Xenopus tropicalis: one gene and its partners. The protein of the gene in region 3 binds, or shares a complex with, the protein of the main gene of each other region. Links are inferred from orthologs where the notes say so. Each region holds a gene or a part of one and is shown on either strand. Other genes may lie near its edges.

Region 1 (10,565 bases), on a different chromosome or scaffold from region 3:
GTGCCACTAGCATAAAAGCATTACTGTTCTAAAATCTATCTCATTTTTTTTCCACATATTTTTTTCCATGTTTCATTCGCCCTACCTCTATTTTACACTGGATTTCTTGTCCTGTGCACTCCGTTCTTCCTGAAGGCAACATCCAACCCACAAACTATACCAAAAAGAGAAAAAAATGGCACATAAGGAAAATGTTATATTTTATGGGTAAACAGGTCTAAATATAATTGACATTGGATACTGCTTAAAAAAACCAAGAGAATACATAATTGCTTTACAATGACTATATTATTTTAGTCAACATCAACAAATAAAACTCAATAAAACATAATACTAATTTAAAATGTACACAAATATTTTTATCATGGATTCTAACATATTGGATTAAACAGTTTTTTTAGTTGGAACACTGCAAAAAGTTGAGTTGCATATCATTTAAACCCTATATTGCATTGCAAGTAGTACAAAGACAACATATCGTGAAACCAAGGAGTGTTGCTGAAAAGCAAATTCTCATTTTGAATTTAATGCCATTAACATGTTTTTAAGAAAATTGAGACAGAGGCAACAAAAGACAGGGTGTAAGGCCAAAAAGAGCAGATCCCAGAGAGGCTGGGCCACTTAAGGTCCCCATACACGGGCCGATTCTAGCTGTCAATATCGGTCCCTTAGACCGATTCGGCAGCTAATCGGCCCATGTATAGGCACTAACGACGGGCCTGCCCGACCGATATCTGGCCTGAAATACTAAATGCAAGTAAAAACTCTACCATGCATCTGTACCATCCAGCAAGACATTCTGATAAATAAGAATTTGAAATTCTTTTTGGAAATCATGGATGCCATCACGGAAATTAAGGGCCATCCTCATTGTTATCAGAGCACAGTTCAAATGTAATGGTACCAGAAGGGGCATCAGTTCCTACACAATATGTTGTTTCTGTACTATTTTCAATTGAATATAGGATATAAACAATTTGCAAATCATCCCATTCTCTTTTAAATTTATGTTTTACACAGTGTTCCAGTGCTTTTTGTTTTACACACTCCCGCAACCGATTTGCTTAATAAAGGTAAGGCAAAATCTGAACTGATGCACAGACAAAAAGAAATAAAACCAATCAAGATATACAGTAAATTATAAAGCTGGGCCATAAACATAATAAACATACATATAATAAGGCAGGGATCCCCAAACTTTTTTACTTGTGAGACTTGCTTAGACGTAAAAGTGTTGGCGAGTCATAAAAGCATTAAAAAAAAGGTCCTTGATGATGCAAAATAAGGGCTGTGATTGGCTACTTGATAGCTCCATGTGCACTGCTGCCACAGCAGGAGGCTCTGATTGGAGTAAAAATGTCTCTCTGTGCTTCCAAACTTATCTCCAAGCTAAAAAATTACAAATGGGCACCTGTTTTTAAGACACTGGGACAACATGTCACAAACCATTGGTTGGGGACTGTTGCAATAAGGTAAACTTTTACTATTTTCAAAGCATCACTCATCATGGAAACCCCTCCAGCAGCAACTGTGAAAAGCTATCATGTAATCCTATAATATAATAATGGGATTGTGGATGAAAAAACAGATTATCTTGGACAAACAATGGCACATGGAGTGGACATTAGTGACCCATAGTCTTTACTCTTTCTGGTGGCTGCTTATAAGATTCCAAGCAAACCCCCTTACAACATAAAATTCTATCTTCAAGGGGATTTAAACTTAACATAAAACCAGTCTAATATCTGCATAAACTGGGAATCACAAACTTAATTGCAGTTACAAGTAAGTGCTTCTATGAGGATCCTGAATGCCAATACTAGATAAGTCACACTGCTGTTGTCTAGCACAGGCAGAACTATTACTGGTTAGGGTCCCTGCTAGAAACAATGTGGCCAATGCCTCCAACATCATTTACACCTTCAAGGTGCCCATACAAAGGGCAGATATTGGCTGCATCAATATACACTTATATACATACATATGTTCATTTTTTTTTTTTTTTAAAAGGTATATGTGTGTGTATATATTTTGTAGTTTTAAGCTGTGCTACCACCCCCCTATCCCCCCTTTGGAATCTGGAGTTTGCTTTTTTAAGATAGAATGGTCTCTGTAGGGCTAAGGGCTCTGGCACACGGGGGGAGATTAGTCGCCCGCGATTAACTCCCTGTTCGCGGGCGACTAATCTCCCCGAGTTGCCTACCCCTGCCATCCCACCGGCGAACATGTAAGTCGCCGGCGGGATGGCACATGCGGCGGAGCGATTTCGCGCGAATCGCCCCGCCGCGTCTGCCATCCCGCCGGCGACTTGCCATCAGAAACTTTGGGGCCCCACATGAACACAAGCATACAGTACCAACATTTTATCCAAGCCCCATGCGTGTGCAATGTAAACAGCTGATGTTACCCTATAATAAACAGTTCACATAAGGCTAATGCCACACGTTGCGTATTCTCAGCAAGCCGAAAAACGCTTGCCCTACGCTTGCCCTACGCTTGCCCTTCCTTGTGCCTGCACCAAAAAGCATTGAATACGCTCAGGTGCAGGCACACGTTGAGTATTTCTACCTAAAACTGTGTTTATTTCAGAAGTGGATCCGCTCCCTTATGCACCTCAGTAAAACTGCATTGACAAGTGCAGCTTCCGCCTCTGCCCAGCTACACAAAGTAGAGCAGAGTAAGAATTGATCTGAAAATGCGAAACCAGAAAAAAAAAAAACTCAGGCTAAGAGCAGGAGAGGAAACACTCTGTGTACCCTCAGCCTAAAACATGGCCAGCCCTTTCCAACTTTACATATAAGGAGCTCTTTATTAAACAACCTTCTTCCTTTTAAGAGATTAACAAAAACAATATATAATCTTAAGTAAAACTAGGAATGCACTGAATTGGCTACTTTTAGCAGTCTGGCCAAAATTAATCTGGTGGAGAAAATTTGCCTTGTACACGAAGCGTGCACACCGGTGTTTCCAACTTCATCTTTGGGAACTTCCAGGTTTGGGTGAATCCATACCCAAGAATTAAGGGATTCGGACGAATACCAAATTGCTAATTTCCATGCATCCCTATACAAAACACTAGGCAAATAGTTAATACAAACTCACTGTAAACAAAATGGAAAAGGGCACCAGAAGAGAAATACATTTGAGAATTAATATTGATTATTCATAGTTCTGGAGTTTTCCAGGTTAAGGGGTGTTTTATCACTATGAGGCACCATGGCCTTATGTTTAAAACACTTTAAACATTAAATAACTAATAGAATTGATTTCCAACATGGATTTATGCTAGCTTAAAATCAAGTAACAGTTATAGTCTTATTGCAGAGGAAAGGCAAATCCATCAAAAGTGAGTAACCGTCTGCTTGAGGAGGAAACTGTGTAATGTCAACGCTTTTAGAATAATGGGTATCCAAAAAATAGATCCCTTACCTCAACACAACTTCCTACCCACCAGCTCTAAGAAATGTATTGCTTTTTGTAGCTTCTAAGCTCTAAAGCAAAAAATATTTTCAATACAGCATTAAAAAAAAAAAATGTGTTAGCAGCACCATTTTGCATCTCATCTTTATCACTTAATCTTTAAAATGAGCTGCATAAGGAAGAAGAGATATACAATAAAGGTGCGTACCCTAATGAAGCATGTATCCGAGTGCTGTTGAACAGACAATCTAAAAACAGAGGATTAATTCATTAAGCCACAAATGTTGCATCATTTATAGTAATTAAGCAGCATCACAAACAGTAAACAGAACAATCACCTATAAATGAAATCATTTGTGCTTCCTCAGTTACAACAACTCCAAGGCTATGACCGGATGCATCACACTTAGCGGCTGCACTGATAACTCTTGCTATCGAAAGAGAGGGTATAACCACTCAACAACTGAAATGTTTGTAAAGAAAAATTCCTTTACATCGCAAGAACTCAACATGAATACCGCTGTTTTCGACATGTGGGCAGGAGTACTAGGATACTGTGCATTAGGTACATCATCATCATCTCTTACACTTAAATCCGTGCTATTCCCAGGATGCAACTCTCATTGGATGTTTTGGAAATCATGTGTTTATGAAAAATAATTAATTATGAGAAAGAAATTAAGGGTGTCCGCTTAAACCCCTCCTCTAGTTGTTAAACCATAATAAGCAACAAGGAAATAATGTAAATAGGTGTACAACTCCAGCCAAATGTTGGGAATTGTAGTACAAGAGCTGGGGGGGGGGGGATTCATAAATGCCAGGATTCACAACACAGCAACTATCACATGTCACTACATCCACAAAAAAAGCATTGTCTGCAACAAGAAGCAGCACCCCCTTGATTTGTACAATTGAACGGAAGGCAGCTATAGTGCGAGTGATTTCTCTCTGGGGGGGGGGGGGGGGAATTAGGACACAGATCAGGAAAGGGGGAGGGGAAAACACACAGGAGGGATTAGGCCACAGGCCTTGGTTTGGCAACAAGACAATAACACTAGAAGCAACAATACAGGCTGCTACATAGGCAGGGACAATGACCGGGGTTAACAAATGGCTGATGATGCGGTTAGGGTGTGTTGATTATTTACATTAGCCAGACAGAGCTGCCAGATTGCCACTTCAACACCGAACACCCATAAGGTGCAAGTGCAGCAGGGCTGATGATGCAATGTGGGAGTATTTGACAGAAGGAAAGAAAGAGCAGAAACCCACAGCAATGGGGCTGCCATGTCATACCATTATAAGCAGACACCCATATAATCCTTTTGCCAACATTATTTGCATAAAAAGCCACAAAACAAATAGAGAAAGGTCGGGGTCTGCAGCAGCCAGCCACTTTCTCTGTATGCAAACATATGTCATAGCCACACGTGTAGGAAACATCCATTAACCCTTCCCCCACATACACAGCAATATGGGCTCCCCCACCCCCTCCTCCTGCCGTGCATTATCCCATGGGCGCCTGAGAGACAGGATTTATACACAGCGTCGGAGTCCAACCTGCGGCCCTCCAAATGTAGCTCTACCATAACTCCCAGCATCCCCGATCTGCATGGTACGACAAAAGCCGAAGGGCCGTGGCTTAGCTATCCTGGCTCCCGATGCAGTGTTGCCATCTCATAGAACACGGGCCGCGCTCACCTTCCCCAGGAGGGAATCCGCTTTGCTATTATGCCGCTTCCTGTTCGGCTTCCACTGTGACGCACCAATTATCGCACTCACAGGATACCGGAAGATAGGTCACAAAATCCTTTATCGCCGGTAAGACGGCTCCTTTACCGGGTCTGCTTCCCACTCCTTATCTCTGTGGAGCTGCCGCCGTCCCCCGTACTCCGAGTGCGCGCACCCCCCCTACTTCCACAGAAAGACACTGCAGAGGGAGCGAGCGTGCGCGGGCACAAAGAGTGGCGTCACTGCTCCCGCGCTAACACGGCGCGCTCCCGCCACGGATTAGGCTGCCCTCAGATGGTCGAGCAGAAAGCCACGCCCTCTTGCGTATACCACGCCTACCAACAATTTGCACGGGTAAATGGCAATTGTTTGCTTGTTCTGCTGTAAGAATCTATATACTCTCTCGGTCGTCGTTAGCAGATGCCTGCCAACCTTACTGCTTTATGGAACAAATGAACCATTGAAGGGACTTTCGATTCATTATTTTAAGTTAACTCTTAGCGTAACGCAAAAATAATAAAAAAAAACGGGACTGAATTAGTATCGTGTAATACATTTTTAAGGGTATTTCAATAAGGTGCAACATTTGGTCGGGGCCTTAATCAAAGCCACGTTTCCAGTAATATCTAAGACAGTAAGCCAGTGACTACTTAAAATCCCACCCTAACTGATCTCAAGGAATTATTAGAAGAGCAAAAAGACATCTGTCCCAGTTGGGCCCTAACTGGCCCTCAGGCCCTGCTCACTAGGGAAGCCCCATAGTTATAATATGGAGTTGACATCACTGACCATGTTTTTGCAATCAATGGTCTTAATGTATGTCTTGTGTATCTCTCTCTCTCTCTCTCTCTCTCTCTCTATATATATATATATAGATAGATATACATATAATATATTGCAAAAATAACATCCTTTTAGGAAAAAATGTTTTTTAGGTCGCCTGAAGAAGTGCCGGGTTAAAAGAGCACAAAACGCACCAGCACGTTGTACGTCTCACATGCACATGTGCCAAAAATATTAAGCAGTCTAAAAAAAATGGTATTCTGAGTGCCAGAGGCATGATGGAGAAAGGTGTTCATAATGTCAACAATATGGAATCAACATTATTCTGTTAGAGTAAATAAAAGAATAGTCCAAGACAAATTAGTATTTACAAGCAGCAAGCACACTGGTTCCTAGGAAATTGAAAAAACCCTCCACCAATGAAATGGGAATGGATACAATCAATAGAAGAAACAAGGAAAATGAAATTTACCCCAATAATGTCATAAACATATAAGATAATTGGGAAATTTGGTTCCCGTTGTTGCCAAATTTCATATGATTCAAAACTAACTAGACGAGGAGTGTGTATACAAAAATCAGCAACAATTTTACTTCAGTGGAGCATCCCCATGTAATATATTGCAAGATTTTAAACCTATGATAGAAAAGAGAATACCATTTAATAGCTACTGCTTCCTTTGTATTTGGCCTATTTGACAAAGTGCTATTATGTTGGAGCTTTCCTTTGGTTTGAAGGTATAACCATATATCTATATACTTTGAGTATATAACATAGTGAAAATTAAATTAATGTACCATGACTATATACAGTAGATATAAAAAGTCTACACACCCCTGGTAAAATGTCAGGTTCCTGCACTGTACAAAAATGAGACAAAGATAAATCATTTCAGAACTTTTTCCACCTTTAATGTGACCTATAAACTGTAACACTCAATTGAAAAACAAACTGAAATTTTTTAGGTGGAGGGAAGAAAACCAAAAAAACTTAAATAATGTGGTTGCATATAAGTGTGCACACCCTCTTCTAACTGGGGATGTAGCTGTGTTCAGAATTAAGCAATCACATTCAACATCATGTTAAATAGGAGTCAGTATACACCTGCCATGATCTAAAGTGCCTCTCATTAACCCAAAATAAAGTTCAGCTGCTCTAGTTTGTCTTTCCTGACATTTTTTTAGTCGCATCCCACAGCAAAAGCCATGGTCCACAGAGAGCTTCCAAAGCATCAGAGGGATCTCATTGTTAAAAGATATCAGTCAGGAGAAGGGTACAAAAGAATTTCCAAGGCATTAGATATACCATGGAACACAGTGAAGACAGTCATCATCAAGTGGAGAAAATATGGCACAACAGTGACATTAACAAGAACTGGACGTCCCTCCAAAATGGTCAGGGAGGCTACCAAGAGGCCTACAGTAACATTAAAGGAGCTGCAGGACTGGCAAGTACTGGCTGTGTGGTACATGTGACAACAATCTCCTGTATTCTTCTTATGTCTGGGCTATGGGGTAGAGTGGCAAGACGAAAGCCTTTTCTTACAAGGGAATGGCTTCACCGGAAGAAGATTAAAGTTTTGGAATGGCCCAGCCAGAGCCCAGACCTGAATCCGATTGAAAATCTGTGGGGTGATCTGAAGAGGGCTGTGCACAGGAGATGCGCTCGCAATCTGACAGATTTGAAGAGTGGGCAAATCTTGCAAAGTCAAAATGTGCCATGCTGATAGACTCATACCCAAAAAGACTGAGTGCTGTAATAAAATCAAAACGTGCTTCAACGAAGTATTAGTTTAAGGGTGTGCACACTTATGCAACCACATTATTTTAGTTTTTTTGGTTTTCTTCCCTCCACCTAAAAGATTTCAGTTTGTTTTTCAATTGAGTGGTACAGTTTATAGGTCACATTAAAGGTGGAAAAAGGTCTGAAATGATTTAACTTTCCATGATTTTTGTACAGCGCAGGAACCTGACATTTTATCAGGGGTGTGTAGATTTTTAATATCCACTGTATGCTTCCCTCCCACAGAACTGCTCCTGCATTAAGTGCAATAGTGCTTCAGCACTAGGCCATGCAGCCCCCCAGACACACTCTGGGGGGCTGCGTACTAAAAGTAGTACAAGCCAGTACAGGGGGGCCTGCTGAGAAAACTTTTAGGTAAGGTGCAGGCATGGAAGTGGGTTGCGGTAGCCCTTCTGCTTACTGAGCTTCTGGTCCCGGGGACCAGAGACTTAGCTGTTGAAAAGTTAAAGGACAAAAGGTAAAAACTAAGTAAGCTGTATCAGAAAGGTCTATGTAAATACAGCCATAAGCACTCACAGAAAAGTTACACTGAGTCCTCTATCAAAAGAAACACAGATTACCTGTCTCATTTTTTTGTAAACATGTTCTTCAGTATCAGATTTCCTCTCTGTTAGGGCTCCTTTAGGTTTGGGGCACAAACCTGTGCAGTTCTCGCCTCTCTCCCTCTCCCCCTCCCTTCTCCTGCTCCCCCTCCCATAATAATTCATAATAACTCACTCCCCCCTCCCTTAGGAATGTGTGATCTGAGCTACAGTTAGAGCTGCAGCAGGAAGCTACAAAGACCAAGCTAAAATGGCAGTTACTATCTTAAACGGAAGGAGCTATTAGGGCTCTTTACTCAGGTATGGTAAAGCTTTCTGCAGAAAATATATAGAGTCCTAGGTGGCACTAATGTGGCTAACCTATAGGCAGTAAAATGCCAAAATGCCTTTCCATCTTCTCTCTGTCTCCTTTTAAATGTGGTTCTCTACTCATGAACCATTTTCCATCATATTTTCATGTTGCACCAATACTGATTAGTGTATTTTATCTAATGTTTCTTAGGCAGGCCCTAGATATTGAGCTTATTTTGGTGGGCCTTAGGAAGCTCAGTCCAACAGTGCTTTATTACATACAACATCCAGTCTTCAAAAAACTTAAACAGGTTAATTGCAATGCCTTAAAAAATAAAGCAAGCTCTGTATACTGTAGCATTTGAAACTGTGGTTGTTCTGTTTTACTAAAACTATCCAGTTTTTTACATTCCTGGACTGTTATACAGTAACGGTGTTTTTCTTTTCCCAATTCTTATGGAACTGGAAACAGTTTTACTGCATAATAAAGGGCCATCTAAAAGCACAGATATATAGAATTCAACTATGAATGAACAAACCCCATTCTGTTCCATCAACAAAGTAAAATAAATAATCACAAAACAAGGAAAAGGCTCTTTCCTTTATAAAAGAGCCCTGAAGTGTTAAGCGTAAACATACTGATGCAAATTAGGAATCAATGAACAAATGATTATAGTTCATCAAGTAAAAGTTTCCACATGTTCTGTGTGTTAAACACACCATACAAATCTCAGGGCAGAGGTGAAACTTGGCAGACAAACAGAACATGTAGCAGCTTGTTGAAGGGAACCTCCCGTTGATAGGAAGGATGGCATAGTCATGGCAAAATTGTATGTAGGTGTAGTGCATAGGAACATGTACAGTGTGTGTTGTGATTTTGTTGGTCTTTATTTGCCCAGGTTTATTTTTACTGTTGCATTTTGTTTAAATATATCATTTGTATCTAGTTTGAATTAACACAAATTACATATTTAAGGGGTGTGAAACTCAAGATCCTATTACTGCAATGAATTTTCACCTGGCATCTCTCATCTCCTGCCATGTCATCTCCTGCACTGACATTAACAAGAGAATCTAGATGAGACAATTACAACTAACCACCATTTACATGTACAAAGGAAGAAACATGTCCAGACTGAGATTCAAAATATGCACTGGCATTTCAAGTACACTTTGAGAGGTTGAATTTGATGGTCTGTTTTTCATGCCAAATTTTCTATGTAACTGTGTAACCCCACACAGGCCTGAATATATAGCCTGCAGCTTACACCAGATTCCCTGACAATTACTAGAATTTCCAGATTGTCATTCTGGGCCTAGAAAGAAACTGCTAAGGAATGAAGCAGATTTGATCTATAATATTGTTCTAACCAACAATTTAACAAACAGAAGCTGCACTACTAGCTTTTTCATAAAAACATCTGGTAGAGCCTTTTCTACCTAGTGATTTCAATGTAAATAATGGCAACATTATTGTGATCTTCCAAAAAGACTTAAATGATTATTGCACTGTTCCTAAATGTATATGGAAGCATTAGTCATAACAGGAGACAGAAGAACTGCTATGTTTTTGCAGGAAGCGGAAAAAAGAGTACAGGTATGGGACCTGTTATCCAGAATGCTCGGGACCTGGGGTTTTCCGTATAAGGGATCATTCCATAATTTGGATCTCCAAACCATAAGACTACTAATAAATGATTTAAACATTAATTAAACCCAACAGGATTATTTTGCCTCCAACAAGGATTAATTATAGTTTAGTTGGGATTAAGTACAAGGTACTGTTTTATTATTACAGAAAAAAATAATATCATTTTTAAAAATTACTTTCTTATAATGTAGTTTATGGGAGATGGCCTTCCCGTAATTCAGAACTTTCTGGATAACGGGTTTCCGGATAATGGATCCAAGAACTGTACCAACAAATTTTTTTTTTTTGATTCTGAAAACTCTACTGCCTGCCCTGCTCTGTGCCTGAATTTCAACTAGAGACT
Region 2 (10,633 bases), on a different chromosome or scaffold from region 3:
ACTCCCTTTGTACTGCAACCCCCCACCCCCACCAGCCATAGTACCCCAGCCCCCCCCCCCATGCCTTACTGATCCCTCCCTCCTCCTCATGCCCCGCCCATCACACCTGATAGCCTGGCACCGCCTCTACTTACCTGAGACAGGGACTTCAAGTTCAGGGGCGGATCTGGGGGGAAAAGGGGAAACATGAGAATGAGGCTCAAACAGACTCCTCCCCCAACCGATCGGTTTGGCTGCACAATCCCCGCCCTTGTCATGTGACACAGCAGCCCAATGCTCTATAAGCCACACCCCTTGTACATACCCCACACAGTATATACCCCACTAACTGCCCCTTACACACACAGTATATACCCCACTAACTGCCCCCTTCCACACACAGTATATACCCCACTAACTGCCCCTTCCACACACAGTATATACCCCACTAACTGCCCCTTCCACACACAGTATATACCCTACTAACTGCCCCTTCCACACACAGTATATACCCTACTAACTGCCCCCTTCCACACACAGTATATACCCCACTAACTGCCCCTTCCACACACAGTATATACCCTACTAACTGCCCCCTTCCACACACAGTATATACCCCACTAACTGCCCCTTCCACACACAGTATATACCCCACTAACTGCCCCCTTCCACACACAGTATATACCCCACTAACTGCCCCTTACACACACAGTATATACCCCACTAACTGCCCCCTTCCACACACAGTATATACCCCACTAACTGCCCCTTCCACACACAGTATATACCCCACTAACTGCCCCTTCCACACACAGTATATACCCCACTAACTGCCCCTTCCACACACAGTATATACCCTACTAACTGCCCCTTCCACACACACAGTATATACCCCACTAACTGCCCCTTCCACACACAGTATATACCCCACTAACTGCCCCCTTCCACACACAGTATATACCCCACTAACTGCCCCTTCCACACACAGTATATACCCCACTAACTGCCCCTTCCACACACAGTATATACCCCACTAACTGCCCCTTCCACACACAGTATATACCCCACTAACTGCCCCTTCCACACACAGTATATACCCCACTAACTGCCCCCTTCCACACACACACACAGTATATACCCCACTAACTGCCCCTTCCACACACAGTATATACCTCACTAACTGCCCCTTACACACACACAGTATATACCCCACTAACTGCCCCTTCCACACACACAGTATATACCCCACTAACTGCCCCTTCCACACACAGTATATACCCCACTAACTGCCCCCTTCCACACACAGTATATACCCCACTAACTGCCCCTTCCACACACAGTATATACCCCACTAACTGCCCCTTCCACACACAGTATATACCCCACTAACTGCCCCTTCCACACACAGTATATACCCCACTAACTGCCCCTTCCACACACAGTATATACCCCACTAACTGCCCCCTTCCACACACACACAGTATATACCCCACTAACTGCCCCTTCCACACACAGTATATACCCCACTAACTGCCCCTTACACACACACAGTATATACCCCACTAACTGCCCCTTCCACACACAGTATATACCTCACTAACTGCCCCTTACACACACACAGTATATACCCCACTAACTGCCCCTTCCACACACAGTATATACCCCACTAACTGCCCCTTCCACACACAGTATATACCCCACTAACTGCCCCTTCCACACACAGTATATACCCCACTAACTGCCCCTTCCACACACAGTATATACCCTACTAACTGCCCCCTTCCACACACAGTATATACCCCACTAACTGCCCCTTCCACACACACAGTATATACCCCACTAACTGCCCCCTTCCACACACAGTATATACCCCACTAACTGCCCCTTCCACACACAGTATATACCCCACCAACTGCCCCTTACACACACAGTATATACCCCACTAACTGCCCCTTCCACACACAGTATATACCCCACTAACTGCCCCTTCCACACACAGTATATACCCCACTAACTGCCCCCTTCCACACACAGTATATACCCCACTAACTGCCCCCTTCCACACACAGTATATACCTCACTAACTGCCCCTTCCACACACAGTATATACCCCACTAACTGCCCCTTCCACACACAGTATATACCCCACTAACTGCCCCTTCCACACACAGTATATACCCCACTAACTGCCCCCTTCCACACACACACAGTATATACCCCACTAACTGCCCCTTCCACACACAGTATATACCTCACTAACTGCCCCTTACACACACACAGTATATACCCCACTAACTGCCCCTTCCACACACACAGTATATACCCCACTAACTGCCCCTTCCACACACAGTATATACCCCACTAACTGCCCCCTTCCACACACAGTATATACCCCACTAACTGCCCCTTCCACACACAGTATATACCCCACTAACTGCCCCTTCCACACACAGTATATACCCCACTAACTGCCCCTTCCACACACAGTATATACCCCACTAACTGCCCCCTTCCACACACACACAGTATATACCCCACTAACTGCCCCTTCCACACACAGTATATACCTCACTAACTGCCCCTTACACACACACAGTATATACCCCACTAACTGCCCCTTCCACACACAGTATATACCCCACTAACTGCCCCTTCCACACACAGTATATACCCCACTAACTGCCCCTTCCACACACAGTATATACCCCACTAACTGCCCCTTCCACACACAGTATATACCCTACTAACTGCCCCCTTCCACACACAGTATATACCCCACTAACTGCCCCTTCCACACACACAGTATATACCCCACTAACTGCCCCCTTCCACACACAGTATATACCCCACTAACTGCCCCTTCCACACACAGTATATACCCCACCAACTGCCCCTTACACACACAGTATATACCCCACTAACTGCCCCTTCCACACACAGTATATACCCCACTAACTGCCCCTTCCACACACAGTATATACCCCACTAACTGCCCCCTTCCACACACAGTATATACCCCACTAACTGCCCCCTTCCACACACAGTATATACCCCACTAACTGCCCCCTTCCACACACAGTATATACCTCACTAACTGCCCCTTCCACACACAGTATATACCCCACTAACTGCCCCCTTACACACACAGTATATACCCTACTAACTGCCCCTTCCACACACACAGTATATACCCCACTAACTGCCCCCTTCCACACACAGTATATACCCCACTAACTGCCCCTTCCACACACAGTATATACCCCACTAACTGCCCCTTCCACACACAGTATATACCCCACTAACTGCCCCTTCCACACACAGTATATACCCCACTAACTGCCCCTTCCACACACACAGTATATACCCCACTAACTGCCCCTTCCACACACAGTATATACCCCACTAACTGCCCCTTCCACACACACAGTATATACCCCACTAACTGCCCCCTTCCACACACAGTATATACCCTACTAACTGCCCCTTCCACACACACAGTATATACCCCACTAACTGCCCCTTCCACACACAGTATATACCCCACTAACTGCCCCTTCCACACACAGTATATACCCCACTAACTGCCCCTTCCACACACACAGTATATACCCCACTAACTGCCCCTTCCACACACAGTATATACCTCACTAACTGCCCCTTCCACACACACAGTATATACCCCACTAACTGCCCCTTCCACACACAGTATATACCCCACTAACTGCCCCTTCCACACACAGTATATACCCCACTAACTGCCCCTTACACACAGTATATACCCCACTAACTGCCCCTTACACACAGTATATACCCCACTAACTGCCCCTTCCACACACAGTATATACCCCACTAACTGCCCCTTCCACACACAGTATATACCCCACTAACTGCCCCTTACACACACAGTATATACCCTACTAACTGCCCCCTTCCACACACAGTATATACCCTACTAACTGCCCCTTCCACACACAGTATATACCCCACTAACTGCCCCTTCCACACACACAGTATATACCCCACTAACTGCCCCTTCCACACACAGTATATACCCCACTAACTGCCCCTTCCACACACACAGTATATACCCCACTAACTGCCCCTTCCACACACAGTATATACCTCACTAACTGCCCCTTCCACACACAGTATATACCCCACTAACTGCCCCTTCCACACACAGTATATACCCCACTAACTGCCCCTTCCACACACAGTATATACCCCACTAACTGCCCCTTCCACACACACAGTATATACCCCACTAACTGCCCCTTCCACACACACAGTATATACCCCACTAACTGCCCCTTCCACACACAGTATATACCCCAATAATTGCCCCCCCACTACCTGTTATACCTTTTTAACTGCCCCGTCCATGTGTTATTTACCCCAAACCTTGGAAACTACCCCCCCCGGGGTAACTATCTCCCGTTGCCCCCCAAGCTTCTGCCCCAACATATTGAGCCCCAGTTTGATCCAAGTGCCCCATCCGCCCCTGGGAAGGGCAGTTTTGTCCCATTCTGCCCCAATTACCCCACCGGCCCGACCTACCCCTCCCCACACGACTCACCTTCAGGACTGGCCTCCCCCATGGTGGTTTCCAGCATCTCCGAGCCCTGATACCCCCTCCGGGGCAGAAACAGACTCCGTCACACGATCGTCTCCGGCCAGGGGATGGAACAGCTCCAACTGCCCCTCCTAGGGGCAAATGTTCAGGCCCTACTGCCCCCCTCACTAACAGAAGTACCCCCCCACCCCGGGGCTTATACCCTGCCACTTGGGCTGCTACCCCTCCCGAACCGCCTGCTCTCCCGTCGCAGGGAACACCAGAGATGTAGTTCAGCCGCCGGCGCAAAGCATTACGGTCCTTGTAGTTCAAGAACCATGGTCACTCCCCAACGAAAAAGCCAAGTTCTCCGAATAAGAACTACAACTCCCAGGAAACCTTGCGCAACTGAGCCCTCCCAGCAGCCCCCGCGCTTAGCTATTAATCAGCACAGAAAGGGAGGGGCGTGAAGCGCATGCGCATTAGGGACCGAGGCGTCGTGATGCATGCTGGGAAATGTAGTTTGCGTCCTCTACCCGCTGTTGGGCGTGACCAGCGCCGTAAGTTTTGTCCCGCCCTTGGCGCTAGCGGAAAGCGCTGTCTGTGGGAAGTGCGTGGTGCGACAACGTAACGGCAATTTGCAGAGTCTTGTGATTGGCCCCTGTGGGCCTGTCAGAGAGGCGTCTCCTAGTTAGTCCCGCCCCGCAAGTGCGTCATTCCGTCACACGCCGCTCTGGGGAGCTGCTGGGATTCGTGGGCGGTAGAGGCCGCAGCGGGTAGTACGGGAGGCCGGGGCTTGGGGTTGCGCTAGGCCGCAGGATGGCGGAGACTAAAGTCATTTACCATCTGGACGAGGAGGAGACCCCGTACCTGGTGAAGGTTCCGGTCCCGGCCAATGAGATCCGCCTGCGGGACTTCAAGGCTGCGCTGGGCCGGGGCCACGCCAAATATTTCTTCAAGGCCATGGACCAGGACTTCGGGTACGCCCCTCCCCTGTGGCCCCTGGGGGTCATGCCCCGCCCCTTCAGGCCTGCCCTCCTGCTGCTTCTTCTGCAGCCCTAATGTCTACCTGATAACTGCCCCACTAACTGCCCCTACTACTGATATTTACCCCTCAGCCCTAATGTCTGCCTGATAACTGCCCCACTAACTGCCCCTACTACTGATATTTACCCCTCAGCCCTAATGTCTGCCTGATAACTGCCCCCAGTAACTGCCCCCAGTAACTGCCCCCAGTAACTGCCCCCAGTAACTGCCCCCACTACTGATATTTACCCCTCAGCCCTAATGTCTGCCTGATAACTGCCCCACTAACTGCCCCTACTACTGATATTTACCCCTCAGCCCTAATGTCTGCCTGATAACTGCCCCCAGTAACTGCCCCCAGTAACTGCCCCCAGTAACTGCCCCCACTACTGATATTTACCCCTCAGCCCTAATGTCTGCCTGATAACTGCCCCACTAACTGCCCCTACTACTGATATTTACCCCTCAGCCCTAATGTCTGCCTGATAACTGCCCCACTAACTGCCCCCTGCTACTGTTATTTACCCCTCACCCCTAATGTCTGCCTGATAACTGCCCCACTAACTGCCCCTACTACTGATATTTACCCCTCAGCCCTAATGTCTGCCTGATAACTGCCCCACTAACTGCCCCACTAACTGCCCCTACTACTGATATTTACCCCTCAGCCCTAATGTCTGCCTGATAACTGCCCCACTAACTGCCCCTACTACTGATATTTACCCCTCAGCCCTAATGTCTGCCTGATAACTGCCCCACTAACTGCCCCTACTACTGATATTTACCCCTCAGCCCTAATGTCTGCCTGATAACTGCCCCACTAACTGCCCCCACTACTGATATTTACCCCCTCACCCCTAATGTCTGCCTGATAACTGCCCCACTAACTGCCCCCACTACTGATATTTACCCCTCAGCCCTAATGTCTGCCTGATAACTGCCCCAGTAACTGCCCCTACTACTGATATTTACCTCTCAGCCCTAATGTCTGCCTGATAACTGCCCCAGTAACTGCCCCCTGCTACTGTTATTTACCCCTCACCCCTAATGTCTGCCTGATAACTGCCCCAGTAACTGCCCCTACTACTGATATTTACCCCTCAGCCCTAATGTCTGCCTGATAACTGCCCCACTAACTGCCCCCACTACTGATATTTACCCCTCAGCCCTAATGTCTGCCCCACTAACTGCCCCTCTAACTGCCCCTACTACTGATATTTACCCCTCAGCCCTAATGTCTGCCCCACTAACTGCCCCTACTACTGATATTTACCCCTCACCCCTAATATCTGCCTGATAACTGCCCCAGTAACTGCCCCTACTACTGTTATTTACCCCTCAGCCCTAATGTCTGCCCCACTAACTGCCCCCACTACTGATAATTACCCCTCAGCCCTAATGTCTGCCTGATAATTGCCCCCACTAACTGCCCCACTAACTGCCCCTACAACTGATATTTACCCCTCACCCCTAATGTCTGCCTGATAACTGCCCCAGTAACTGCCCCCTGCTACTGTTATTTACCCCTCACCCCTAATGTCTGCCTGATAACTGCCCCCACTAACTGCCCCAGTAACTGCCCCTACTACTGATATTTACCCCTCACCCCTAATGTCTGCCTGATAACTGCCCCAGTAACTGCCCCCTGCTACTGATATTTACCCCTCAGCCCTAATGTCTGCCTGATAACTGCCCCACTAACTGCCCCCACTACTGTTATTTACCCCTCAGCCCTAATGTCTGCCTGATAACTGCCCCACTAACTGCCCCTACTACTGATATTTACCCCTCAGCCCTAATGTCTGCCTGATAACTGCCCCACTAACTGCCCCTACTACTGATATTTACCCCCTCACCCCTAATGTCTGCCTGATAACTGCCCCCAGTAACTGCCCCCAGTAACTGCCCCCAGTAACTGCCCCCAGTAACTGCCCCCAGTAACTGCCCCCAGTAACTGCCCCCAGTAACTGCCCCCAGTAACTGCCCCAGTAACTGCCCCCACTACTGTTATTTACCCCTCAGCCCTCAGCCCTAATGTCTGCCTGATAACTGCCCCACTAACTGCCCCTACTACTGATATTTACCCCCTCACCCCTAATGTCTGCCTGATAACTGCCCCAGTAACTGCCCCCAGTAACTGCCCCCAGTAACTGCCCCCAGTAACTGCCCCCAGTAACTGCCCCCAGTAACTGCCCCCAGTAACTGCCCCCACTACTGTTATTTACCCCTCAGCCCTAATGTCTGCCTGATAACTGCCCCACTAACTGCCCCTACTACTGATATTTACCCCTCAGCCCTAATGTCTGCCTGATAACTGCCCCAGTAACTGCCCACTGCCCCTACTACTGTTATGTACCCCCTCAGCCCTAATGTCTGCCTCATAACTGCCCCTACCAATGTTATGTACCCCCTCAGTCCTAATATCTGGTACAGCTTATTGTGTGCCCAGAACATTCCCTCTCTGTATATTTGTATTTATACATATGGGTAGGAGGTGCCATAGTGTTTCCCTTAGACAGTACAGTATGGGGGTACAGCTTATTGTGTGCCCAGAACATTCCCTCTCTGTATATTTGTATTTATACATATGGGTAGGGGGTGCCATAGTGTTTCCCTTAGACAGTACAGTATGGGGGCGGAGCTTATTGTGTGCCCAGAACATTCCCTCTCTGTATATTTGTATTTATACATATGGGTAGGAGGTGCCATAGTGTTTCCCTTAGACAGTACAGTATGGGGGTACAGCTTATTGTGTGCCCAGAACATTCCTTCTCTGTATATTTGTATTTATACATATGGGTAGGGGGTGCCATAGTGTTTCCCTTAGACAGTACAGTATGGGGGTACAGCTTATTGTGTGCCCAGAACATTCCTTCTCTGTATATTTGTATTTATACATATGGGTAGGGGGTGCCATAGTGTTTCCCTTAGACAGTACAGTATGGGGGTACAGCTTATTGTGTGCCCAGAACATTCCTTCTCTGTATATTTGTATTTATACATATGGGTAGGGGGTGCCATAGTGTTTCCCTTAGACAGTACAGTATGGGGGTACAGCTTATTGTGTGCCCAGAACATTCCTTCTCTGTATATTTGTATTTATACATATGGGTAGGGAGGTGCCATAGTGTTTCCCTTAGACAGTACAGTATGGGGGTACAGCTTATTGTGTGCCCAGAACATTCCTTCTCTGTATATTTGTATTTATACATATGGGTAGGGGGTGCCATAGTGTTTCCCTTAGACAGTACAGTATGGGGGCGGAGCTTATTGTGTGCCCAGAACATTCCCTCTCTGTATATTTGTATTTATACATATGGGTAGGGGGTGCCATAGTGTTTCCCTTAGACAGTACAGTATGGGGGCGGAGCTTATTGTGTGCCCAGAACATTCCCTCTCTGTATATTTGTATTTATACATATGGGTAGGAGGTGCCATAGTGTTTCCCTTAGACAGTACAGTATGGGGGTACAGCTTATTGTGTGCCCAGAACATTCCCTCTCTGTATATTTGTATTTATACATATGGGTAGGGGGTGCCATAGTGTTTCCCTTAGACAGTACAGTATGGGGGTACAGCTTATTGTGTGCCCAGAACATTCCTTCTCTGTATATTTGTATTTATACATATGGGTAGGGGGTGCCATAGTGTTTCCCTTAGACAGTACAGTATGGGGGTACAGCTTATTGTGTGCCCAGAACATTCCCTCTCTGTATATTTGTATTTATACATATGGGTAGGGGGTGCCATAGTGTTTCCCTTAGACAGTACAGTATGGGGGCGGAGCTTATTGTGTGCCCAGAACATTCCCTCTCTGTATATTTGTAGGAATAGGAGGTGCCTTATGACCCCTATGGGGGTAATTACCTCTCTAATCTCATTGCAGGGTAGTTAAGGAGGAGATATCGGATGACAATGCCAAGCTGCCCTGCTTTAATGGCCGTGTGGTGTCGTGGGTAAGTGCCCGGTACCCCCCCCCCCCCCCCTCTGTTCCTGGGTGAGGCCTTCTGGGAAATACCCCATAGCACTTCTTTTGCCTAAATGTCATTCTGATCCCCTTCCCTATATCCATTCCTCATTCTCTGCACTGCTGGTTCTGACTCCTGATACAACTCCCCAATACCCATTCATCCCTCATTCTCACTGGGTTTATAGTTATGTGTAACTGTCACTGTGTCTGTCCCTTTCCCTTCCCTGCACTGCTGGTTCTGACTCCTGATACAACTCCCCAATACCCATTCATCCCTCATTCTCACTGGGTTTATAGTTATGTGTAACTGTCACTGTCCCTTTCCCTTCCCTGCACTGCTGGTTCTGACTCCTGATACAACTCCCCAATATCCATTCATCCCTCATTCTCACTGGGTTTATAGTTATGTGTAACTGTCACTGTCCCTTTCCCTTCTCTGCACTGCTGGTTCTGACTCCTGATACAACTCCCCAATATCCATTCATCCCTCATTCTCACTGGGTTTATAGTTATGTGTAACTGTCACTGTCCCTTTCCCTTCCCTGCACTGCTGGTTCTGACTCCTGATACAACTCCCCAATATCCATTCATCCCTCATTCTCACTGGGTTTATAGTTATGTGTAACTGTCACTGTGTCTGTCCCTTTCCCTTCCCTGCACTGCTGGTTCTGACTCCTGATACAACTCCCCAATATCCATTCATTCCTCATTCTCACTGGGTTTATAGTTATGTGTAACTGTCACTGTGTCTGTCCCTTTCCCTTCCCTGCACTGCTGGTTCTGACTCCTGATACAACTCCCCAATATCCATTCATCCCTCATTCTCACTGGGTTTATAGTTATGTGTAACTGTGTCTGTCCCTTTCCCTTCCCTGCACTGCTGGTTCTGACTCCTGATACAACTCCCCAATATCCATTCATCCCTCATTCTCACTGGGTTTATAGTTATGTGTAACTGTCACTGTGTCTGTCCCTTTCCCTTCCCTGCACTGCTGGTTCTGACTCCTGATACAACTCCCCAATATCCATTCATCCCTCATTCTCACTGGGTTTATAGTTATGTGTAACTGTCACTGTCCCTTTCCCTTCCCTGCACTGCTGGTTCT
Region 3 (10,641 bases):
GCAAACCAGAAGTCCAGCAGGTCCGCACAGTTCTCTTGTTGCAAAAAAGTCCTGAACAAGTTAATCCCATCCTGATCGTCCAAAAGAGAGTGCAACGACTCAGCCCATTTTAGGTACGGAGGTGTCGGGGAAGCACTACCTTCAGGCTCATAGCCCAAGTCTAGGTCTGGTCTCCTAGGGGTGGCTGTTGAGGTTTCGTTTTTGATCCCATCGTTTTTCAGAGAGTAGTAACTGTGGCTGAAGGGTCTTTGATCTGTTGTAATCAGTTCTCCTTCCTCGCCAGGAACTGGTGGCCTAGGTGCATCTTCAGTAAAGCTTCCCCCTAGGTCCAAAGGGAAACCTTTCCCTTTGACACTCATTTTGATGGCGTTTGTATACACAGTGATGAATAAAACACTGATTCAGAATATGGACATCGTAAATAGAAGGTCCCAGGTAAAAGTATGCCTCCTGCCAAGAAAAAAAAACAAAGAAACATTTAGAAGTCAGTAGGAAAAAGATAATTAAGTTCCGCTTACTCATTATACTGTTGCATTTCATTAAAGGGGAACTCCACCCAAAACAGTATTTACACCTAATAAAAACAAATATAATTCTAAGCAACTTTCCTATTACATTCATGACACATATTTAGTGGCTTTAGAGTTATCTGCAGGGTGAAGACACACAGAGCTACTAGTAGCAGCTACTTGTCCCTGCTACTAAAATAGACAATGCTGATCATTTACTGATAACTGTCTCTACATGTGTCTTAATCTCCTCGCAATGCCAACCTACCGGCATGAATGTAAATCGGCGGTGGGATGGCATACACGTCACTTAGTTTTCCTGAAGTCGCCCAAAGTTTTCTTGAGAGGCAACTTCGGGAAAATGAATCATCACGTATGCCATCCCATTGGCAATTTACGTTCTTGCCAGTGGGATGGTATTGCGGGGAGATTAGTCGCCCGCAGTAACGAAGATCTGTCACGGCGCAACTAATCTCCCCATTTGCCACTGCCCTTAGAAGAGGCAATTCTCAGTTGTCTATTGGCAGGGTATTTTATGTTGTTTAGTAGCTGTGAAAAAGTAGCAAATACTAGTAGCCCGTGTGTCTTCACCCTTAGTGTAACTTTTGTTAATAACAGAATCTGTGGGGCAGTTCTGAGTCTTTGCACTGCTGGTTCTGTCTCCTAAAAATGCAGCAGAAGCCAGCTCACTAACAAGACCCTGAGGATAACCGACATATGTTACATTGTTTCAAGAGTCAGAACCAGAAAGCAAAAAGCGATAAACAGAATGCCATTTCCATTTACCTAGTCAAGAGCCCAACATGAATGAATTATGGAAGTGCGTATTTGAAGTGTGTGGCTGGCAAGTGATCCTCTGGGATGCCACTGCTGCCAAGGTTAAGCTGCAAATAGTCTGGGGCCAGCAATGAAAGCGACAATTGCCAAACAGAAATGGACTTATCTTACACGACTATCACAGACCGGCAGTTGGGTTTATTGCAGTTGAGTAACACAATAGAAGCTTTAGTGAAAACCTGTGACAATGCCAGTCCTCGTTGGGCAACTGCAGCAGTGACACTAATTTTTGAATGCAAAAACAACTTGCAGCCACTGTTCATAATATAGTCACACACCCAGTTGGGACTGAACGTGTAGTGAGCTTGAAGACCAGAGGAAGCGTGCCAGCTAGAAAGCAGCTGTAGCAATAGCACATAATAGCAAGCATAGCGGGCATCGTTAACTGCCCAGCCACAATTACCCATAGCCAGCAAGGCACAATACAGCTGGATATTGCAGCAGCCATCATTGACTGCCCAGATACAATTACCCATAGCCAGCAAGGCACAATACAGCTGGATATTGCAGCGGCCATCATTGACTGCCCAGCCACAATTACCCATAGCCAGCAAGGCACAATACAGCTGGATATTGCAGCAGCCATCATTGACTGCCCAGATACAATTACCCATAGCCAGCAAGGCACAATACAGCTGGATATTGCAGCGGCCATCATTGACTGCCCAGCCACAATTACCCATAGCCAGCAAGGCACAATACAGCTGGATATTGCAGAGGCCATCATTGACTGCCCAGCCACAATTACCCATAGCCAGCAAGGCACAATACAGCTGGATATTGCAGCGGCCATCACTAACTGCCCAGCCACTATTACCCATAGCCAGCAAGGCACAATACAGCTGGATATTGCAGCGGCCATCACTAACTGCCCAGCCACAATTACCCATAGCCAGCAAGGCACAATACAGCTGGATACTGCAGAGGACAAGGGTTGCTCGCAAGGTGTGTTCGTGAGTGTGACGCCAAATGTTCTTGTGTATCAGACTTAGAGGCTCCCTGGGATTCCCCCCCTGCTCGAGGCATACCCAGATAGGCTGTATCTGAATGAATGAACCTGCTATTGCCAGGGCCATTAAAGCTATTGGTACTTTGAACCGTGCCGCAGAGATAAACAGCATAAAGCAATAACCAGGGACACTAAAATACTATATTACCCATCCCAAGACATGCAACTGCTCACGTTCTACTCCTCAGCACCACTAGGCGACATCACCTTCTGCCCGGCAATCCCTTTTACTGTTTCCAGTGGGGGCTATAATAGACTAACTCGCCACACACACAGTGTAAAAATCCTCTTTCTAGCCAGCTACATGTGTCTGCATTCCTTTTCTCTGGTTCCGACTCCTGAAACAAGTTAGTTCTGCTCTCGATAGTTTCTGCTATACTGATTCAGAAGTCAGAGCCAGCAGTGCAGAGAATACAAACACCCAGGCAGCGTTTTTCCATACCAATTACATTTACACATAACTTCAAAACCAATGACATTTATGAATGTATATACTGCTTACAGTTACATGTCAGTTACAACGAAAATATATTTTAAATATCTATCTCTCCTTGATAACTATAAGACTTCTGTATAATGTGTCAAAAATACAAATATTATATAACAAAGAAGTTGCTGGTCCTGAGAGTTCTAATTCCAATTTGATATATACTATACATATATATTTTCTTTTTTACACACATCACATTACACATATATTCACTTTTTTTTTTTTTATAAATAGACATTTCCCCCCCAACAATGAGGATAGATTTCTTTGGTCAGACCAAAAGCAGATATAATAAGTCAGGAGTGGGCACACAGCCTTGCAGGATTATTTGCAAATGATCAGTATATATCAGTAATATACCAAGCACTGGGTGCCGATGGATCAGGTAGGCAGGTAGGAACACAAGAAACAGGGTCCCCCACACCCCCAAGGCGTCTGGCTACGGCATTCAGATTCTGACATGCACAGAATGCGGAGAACTTCTGCCCCCAATATATATTGGGCACCATGGAAAGTGCTAATGCATGAACTGACAATACCCCACACTCCCACGGTACCTTAGCATTTCTTACATAAAACTGCAGTTGTAACGAAAACTATAAAGCCAATCATACCCCCAACCCACACATAAACTGGCTTAGTCCCTACAGCAGCAATGAGCAACCTGTGGCCCTGCGGGTATTGCCACAGCAGCCCCCCTGTTTCCTTAAGGGTGAGAAGCCCAAGGTAGGTGATGGAACACAGTGAGCAATGGTCAATAAACACCTTGCTGAACTACAATTCCCACCCATGGTGAAACTGCCGGACAACCCACAGAATACAATTCCCACCATGATCGATTTAATGGTCAAGACACTCAGAGCTACTAGTAGCAGCAACTAAAATAGACAATGCTGATAATTTACTGATAATTGTCTCTATGTGTGTTTTAGAAGACAATTCTCAGTATTGTCTATGGCAGTGGCAGCTACCTAAGGGTGAAGACACATGGAGCTACTTAGTAGCAGCTTCTTGTCATGGCTGCAAAACACCAGAAAACACCCTGACAATACTAAGAATTGCCTCTGCTAAAACACACGCAGAGACAATTATCAGTAAATGATCAGCATTGTTTATTTTTGTAGCCATGACAAGTAGCTGCTACTAGTAGCTCCGTGTGTCTTCACCCTAATACTGCACTGCTGCTGATTCTCCAGCGTTTGTAGCCACAGTGCATTTGCTAGTGAAACAACTCCCATCACCCCGCTATGCAGAAGTCAGAGCCAGCAGTGCAGAGAATACAAACATCCAGGCAGCGTTTTTCCATACCAATTACATTTACACATAACTTCAAAACCACTGTCTATGGCAGTGGCAGCTACTAGTAGTTCTGTGTCTTCACCCTAAGGGTGAAGACACATGGAGCTACTTAGTAGCAGCTTCTTGTCATGGCTGCAAAACACCAGAAAATACCCTGACAATACTGAGAATTGCCTCTGTTAAAACACACGTAGAGACAATTATCAGTAAATGATCAGCATTGTCTATTTTTGTAGCCGTGACAAGTAGCTGCTACTAGTAGCTCCGTGTGTCTTTACCCTTAGGGTGAAGACACACTGAGCTACTAGTAGCAGCTACTTTTTCATGGCTACTAAACTCTAGAAAATCCCCTGCCATAGACAATACAGAGAATTGCCTCTGCTAAAACACACGTAGAGACAATTATCAGTAAATGATCAGCATTGTCTATAATAGTAGCCGTGACAAGTAGCTGCTACTAGTAGCTCCGTGTGTCTTCACCCTAATACCGCACTGCTGTGGATTCTCCATCGTTTGCAGCCACAGTGCATTTGCCAGTGAAACAACTCCCATCACCCCACTAACAGCTTATCACGTAGATAAGTTGTCTCCCCCCCATTAATGATGGGATCCCTGCAAAATAGTCCCCCCCCCCCAGATATAGTAAGGATGTAGTAAAGCCCCAGTAAAGCTGACAGATATCCCCCATACAGCCCTGTGGATGATGCTGAATTAAAACTCCCAGTAACCCCTCTGAGCCCAGAGATGTAGTCATTCAGTGTCTGGTGATGTTCATCCCTGGGACTACATTTCCCAGCATGCTCTAGCAGAAAAGCAAAGCATTCAGAGCCCCAATGTTGGGAATAAGGGCAGCAGAGCAACCTGTGATGGACTCTATTACCACAGCCACGTACAGGGCCACAGGGTTCCCATGCATGCCTATAGACGGGCCAGGGTACGGGGCTTCCCAGTAAGATGCGGCCCAGCGGTACTGGCAAAGCCGGGGCCTGGCCTACAAACTGGATCCGTCCGCCTCTCCTGGAAAGTTTCCTCCCCCCGTTCCTCTCACACACACACAGACAGACAGAGAGCCGTGTGGCCTTGCTCCTCACCCAGGCAGCCCTGAGCCGGCTCTTGTGCCCAGCCGTTCCGGGCCCTCTCCCTCCGCTCCGCAGCCACCCATCAAGCTTCCAGCTGGAGCCGCCACCGCGCAGGGATACTCGGGAAACAGGAGAGCGCAGAGCGCCGGGATGCGGCCATGCCCCGGACAGTGCGATACACAGTGAGTGAGTGTGTGAGAGAAACACCGTGCACGGCACCCGCGGGAGTGCGCATTGGCGTGCCCGCGCCTCACATGCGCGGCCCCGCAGCTTCTCGCGATTTTTCCCGCCCCGCTGGTACGCGCAGTCATGTGACTCCAAGCAGCTCTCCGCTTTTTACCTCAGGGATGCGCTCCCCGGCTCTAATATGGGGTGTCTGTGAGGTGGGAATAGTATATGTAGGGCAGCCATGGGCCCTAGGGCCCCAGTGTGGGAGGGTTCTCTGAGGAGGGATGGTAAGAGTTGGTGAGGAAGCTTTTGGGCTGTAGCTCCCACAAGAACTACTCTGGTTATGGGGTGAATTGTGGTCCTGTAGTGTATGTCCTAGTATTCCAAAGCTAGCCAATGGCTGCCAGGGGGGGGCTGGGAGTTGTGGTTTTTAATGTAGGTAATGTCTCCCAGCCTTCTATTGGTGGGAATATTGAGGCAACTAAAGTAACAATCACGCTTTGGGGCCCGTCTATCGAAGTCCGAATTCTGGACTTCAATAGAAAAAAATTCGTATTAAATCCGATAATTTATGATGTGCGTTAAAAACGCGAAAAATTTGTATCGTGGTCATACGTAAATATTGTGGTACGGTCCGAATGATCGTAAATGGCGCGAAAACCTTTCTAACTTTGAAACCTTCTGTGCATGATTTTGGAAGCCTCCCATAGGGCTTAATGGCACTCTGCAGCTCCAACCCGGCCCAAGGAAAGTCTCCCATAGGGCTCAATGGCACTCTGCAGCTCCAACCCGGCCCAAGGAAAGTCTCCCATAGGGCTCAATGGCACTCTGCAGCTCCAACCCGGCCCAAGGAAAGTCTCCCATAGGACTCAATGGCACTCTGCAGCTCCAACCCGGCCCAAGGAAAGAGTGCCATTGAGCCCTATGGGAGACTTTCCTTGGGCCGGGTTGGAGCTGCAGAGTGCCATTGAGCCCTATGGGAGACTTTCCTTGGGCCGGGTTGGAGCTGCAGAGTGCCATTGAGCCCTATGGGAGACTTTCCTTGGGCCGGGTTGGAGCTGCAGAGTGCCATTGAGCCCTATGGGAGACTTTCCTTGGGCCGGGTTGGAGCTGCAGAGTGCCATTGAGCCCTATGGGAGACTTTCCTTGGGCCGGGTTGGAGCTGCAGAGTGCCATTGAGCCCTATGGGAGGCTTTCCTTGGGCCGGGTTGGAGCTGCAGAGTGCCATTGAGCCCTATGGGAGACTGTCCTTGGGCCAGGTTGGAGCTGCAGAGTGCCATTGAGCCCTATGGGAGACTTTCCTTGGGCCAGGTTGGAGCTGCAGAGTGCCATTGAGCCCTATGGGAGACTTTCCTTGGGTCGGGTTGGAGCTGCAGAGTGCCATTGAGCCCTATGGGAGGCTTTCCTTGGGCCAGGTTGGAGCTGCAGAGTGCCATTGAGCCCTATGGGTGACTTTCCTTGGGCGGGGTTGGAGCTGCAGAGTGCCATTGAGCCTTATGGGAGACTTTCCTTGGCCGGGTTGGAGCTGCAGAGTGCCATTGAGCCCTATGGGAGGCTTTCCTTGGGCCGGGTTGGAGCTGCAGAGTGCCATTGAGCCCTATGGGAGACTTTCCTTGGGTCGGGTTGGAGCTGCAGAGTGCCATTGAGCCCTATGGGAGACTTTCCTTGGGCCGGGTTGGAGCTGCAGAGTGCCATTGAGTCCTATGGGAGACTTTCCTTGGGTCGGGTTGGAGCTGCAGAGTGCCATTGAGCCCTATGGGAGACTTTCCTTGGGCCAGGTTGGAGCTGCAGAGTGCCATTGAGCCCTATGGGAGACTTTCCTTGGGCCAGGTTGGAGCTGCAGAGTGCCATTGAGCCCTATGGGAGACTTTCCTTGGGCCGGGTTGGAGCTGCAGAGTGCCATTGAGCCCTATGGGAGACTTTCATTGGGTCGGGTTGGAGCTGCAGAGTGCCATTGAGTCCTATGGGAGGCTTCCAAAATCATGCACTGAAGTTTCAAAGTCAGAAAGGGTTTTGCGCCGTTTACTATCGTTGGGATATGAAAATTTCAGAACTTTTGGACTGTACGTATGAAATTTTCATATTCAAACGAAAATAATTTTCGTGACATTTCCGATCTTCAGAAATGATTGGATTTCGTGATTCGGATTCTTACCTTAGTGAATCGGCCCCTTTGTGTCTCACAGTATGTTTCTGCTAGGCAATGGCCGACATGGAGGACCTGGGAGTTAGGGGCTTCAATGTATGTAGTTTCCCCCACCCTTCCATTGGTGGGGCCCCTGTATGGTGGAAATTTTGAGGCAACAATCACACTTTGTGGTAGTCAGTGGCTGCTAGGGAGGTTCTGGGACTTGTGGTTTTCATTTAGGTAATTTCCCACCTTCCATTGGTGCGGTCTCTGAAAGGTGGGAATAGTGAGGCAACAAAGGTTACGGTAACGCGTCCTATCAATGCCACCCAGCCTGTGTGGCCCTTCGCTTGTTTTCCCGCTAGCGCTGCATTTGGCCGGTATGGCAGGGGGAAGGCATACGATTTGCTGTAGCACCAAGGAAATCACCCTGGAGCATGTATGTCTATAGGCGCGTCCGCCATTGCTGCGCTGAGCCGCAGTGTAACAGAAGCCAGGTCTCCAGGTCTGTTAAAGAGCTGGTTTGTGCTACATTATTTCAGGCACCCCAACCTGCAGTACAGAGAATATAAACAGACAGATTCTGCTTTTAAAAGCAATTCCATTCACGCCTAACTTAAAAAAAACTAATGAGGGTATATTGGAAAGTAGCTTAGGACAGTATTTTTTATTTAATTAAGAGCACTGAACAGACCATGAAGCCAAAATGGCTCAGCCACTCCAACTCCACTCAACCTTTCCCAGGCACATTAAAAGATACATGGCTCCTGAATCTGTTTGGGCAGTTGCAAAAACACCTACGGCCTGGCCATAGATTTGGCCTCACACCTGCTGGATAGAAAGTGAATGCACCCATGACTAATTGGGGCGTTGTGCCTTTAAAAGGTAACCCACTATCCCACTGACAGCTTTCAGATACACCTTGTATTCTTATTGCACTTTCCATGCCCCCAGCCTCTGACCCCTTTATAAAGAATAGGCCACCTGTTGGGTGCTCTTTCATATACAGCTCACCTGGAATGCATATTAAAACTGCTAATAAGGGCTGCCATTTATCCTGTAGATTAAGAGAGGGGCTCACCTACGCCTTTGAACACAGGTTGGCATAGCAACTAGCAGAAAAACAGGTATTGTGCGTAAAAATATTCATAGGTCTTTTAGCAAAGCAAGCATGTGGCATTTTTCTATTGGGTATACATTGTACTAACCATCAAAGATCTTAGCTACAAGCTTTGAAGGATTGATACCCCCTAAAACGAAGGGTTCCTAACATATTGCCACCCTGCCCCCCCATGATTAACCCTTTTGTTTTCTTTTAAGTTTGGTAAAAGGCTACCCACAATGTGGCCTCTAATTGGAATTATCTGATTATTTAGCCCCAAGTCCAGATCGGATTGTACTGCAGGCCCATAAAGACCTCATGGGATAGGACCACCTCAACTTACTGAAGCTGGTGGAACTTTGAAATCTGACCAGTAGATATGTGGCTAATGTTCAGCCAGATATCGGTCAAGTAGGCTGCTGGGTGGGCCCCATACGCATACCAATCTGGAGGGGCTGGTCAGTAGCTTTTATCAGCCAGTATTTGGGCCTGTTCTAAAGTCGTCTTCCTTCTCTGTAAAACAGCAGGTTCTTTGTACTTTATGACTGAAATCCTAGCTATCTTTATATCATAGCTTTTAGATTACAGTGGTCACGTTTCAAATAAAACCAGGACCAGCCTAAAGCCATTTCGACCTATTTGGCCCCATCAGGCCCCCTCACAGCAGCATACCTCCCTGCCCCAACTGCCCACTCCCGGAGTCTTTGTTCAGAGATGAGACCGTGACATTACATCATATAAATCACACCCGTCTGGAGGTAAGTATTGAGGAAACTTCCTAAAACCCAGTGTTTATCCTTCAGGATTTTTAATTGGCCACAAGACTAATTAGAAAGTTGCGAGGCAACTTTGGCGATTTCCCGAAATCGCTCTGCCGCATGTGCCATCCTACCGGGGACTTACATTGTCGCCGGTGGGATGGCAAGTGGCGTAAACTCCCCGTGTGCCAGAGCCCTTAATGGACATGGAAAACAAACTGTTTTGTTTTCTTTTGCATGTTAATTGAAAATTCAGTTTTATGAAACTTCTCCAATGTCCATTCATTACAAAATTGTTCTGTGGTTTTAAAGAAATGCGTAAATTTATTGTTTATATTCTCTGTACTGAGGACTCTGACTCCTGAAACGATGTATCAGAAGCCAGCTGATTCACAGACCTGCAGGAGAACACACTAAAGGTCTTTAGAGCGGGGTCTTTGTTCACGTGCAAAACAATCTGGAAGGGTCAGTTGAGATGTGTGTGTGACAGGCAGAAGTTCTGAATATGAGACAAGTCGTAATGGACAGAGAGCCTAACAACAACATGAAGAGGAAGTTAAGGCTTAAGAACGACAGAGGCATTATAATTGGCCACAGGTGTCGCTGGCTCGTGATTCCGGCTATGATCAGCCGACATGGGAAAATAATGAGATGCTGGTCTAACTGAGCTGCGGCCATGAAGACTAAATCATGTGCTCTTACCCGGAAATCTCTGCAAACACAGGTTTGATATCATTACGACAAGAAGATCTAAGGAACCTACATCCGCACACTGATGCACCGATTGTCGGGGTAATTCTGTTTCATAAATTCTTTTCTTTTGCATTTTGTGAATTTTTACAAAATTTATATTTACTTGTGAAGTGCACAACCTAACTTTTTTTCCCTGTTGAAGGGAAAACCATTAGCAAAGGAATGCATAAATAAGCCAACTGCGTCTCAAAAACTAAAAGAGGTGGCACCACAACATGAATACTTCATTATAGTGGCGTTCGTTCGACGTTTCGATTAAACTAATGTTTAAAAAAGTGCTGTCTTGATTTGTGGTTTTTAAGGCTTGAATTTTCGCGATATATTCAAGTAACAACAAATCTCAAAAACTCTAGAAGTCAGCGATAATGAAAACCATGTATTTGTTATAACTGCTGAAATGGACACCTTCCCAAACCGTTCCATTGCGCTCCACTGATACAGCCACATTTGCCCTACCAGTTTCCAAAAAGCACAGTGTGGTTTGAAAAATTCCACTTTTATTTGCACTC

Evidence for each region. Proteins that work in one complex are often made in the same cells at the same time.
Region 1: the proteins of axin1 (region 3) and siah1 are in contact, whole or in part, in a crystal structure (PDB 5WZZ), measured with the Homo sapiens proteins. The link is inferred for Xenopus tropicalis from reciprocal best matches to the Homo sapiens genes AXIN1 and SIAH1. Residues at the interface, in NP_003493.1 of Homo sapiens: Pro378, Lys379, Glu380, Val381, Arg382, Val383, Glu384, Pro385, Gln386, Lys387; in NP_003022.3 of Homo sapiens: Cys130, Pro131, Ser154, Thr156, Leu158, Asp162, Ile163, Val164, Phe165, Leu166, Ala167, Thr168, Asp169, Val176, Asp177, Trp178, Val179, Met180, Asn272.
Region 2: the proteins of axin1 (region 3) and dvl2 are in contact, whole or in part, in a crystal structure (PDB 6JCK), measured with the Homo sapiens proteins. The link is inferred for Xenopus tropicalis from reciprocal best matches to the Homo sapiens genes AXIN1 and DVL2. Residues at the interface, in NP_003493.1 of Homo sapiens: Arg821, Tyr823, Lys825, Lys826, Glu830, Phe831, Val835, Val836, Phe837, Glu838, Glu839, Lys857, Glu859, Asp862; in NP_004413.1 of Homo sapiens: Lys15, Ile17, Tyr18, Glu23, Glu24, Thr25, Pro26, Tyr27, Leu28, Val29, Val46, Leu47, Gln48, Arg49, Pro50, Phe81, Arg84.

Annotation. Positions count from the first base shown.
Region 1 is NC_030680.2:74,031,143-74,041,707, reverse strand, and holds the start of siah1 (E3 ubiquitin-protein ligase SIAH1), read right to left. Parts: upstream 5,331-10,565; 5' UTR 5,122-5,330; exon of another isoform or gene 4,981-5,121; intron 3,664-4,980; exon of another isoform or gene 3,629-3,663; intron 155-3,628; 5' UTR 86-154; intron 1-85. UniProt on the Homo sapiens protein: E3 ubiquitin-protein ligase that mediates ubiquitination and subsequent proteasomal degradation of target proteins.
Region 2 is NC_030679.2:153,298,824-153,309,456, reverse strand, and holds the start of dvl2 (segment polarity protein dishevelled homolog DVL-2), read left to right. Parts: upstream 1-5,303; 5' UTR 5,304-5,350; coding exon 5,351-5,511; intron 5,512-9,443; coding exon 9,444-9,513; intron 9,514-10,633. Other genes in the region: phf23 (PHD finger protein 23A), read right to left, coding at 135-166, 4,556-4,592.
Region 3 is NC_030685.2:15,099,262-15,109,902, forward strand, and holds the start of axin1 (axin-1), read right to left. Parts: upstream 5,527-10,641; 5' UTR 5,236-5,526; intron 451-5,235; 5' UTR 360-450; coding exon 1-359. UniProt on the Homo sapiens protein: Component of the beta-catenin destruction complex required for regulating CTNNB1 levels through phosphorylation and ubiquitination, and modulating Wnt-signaling.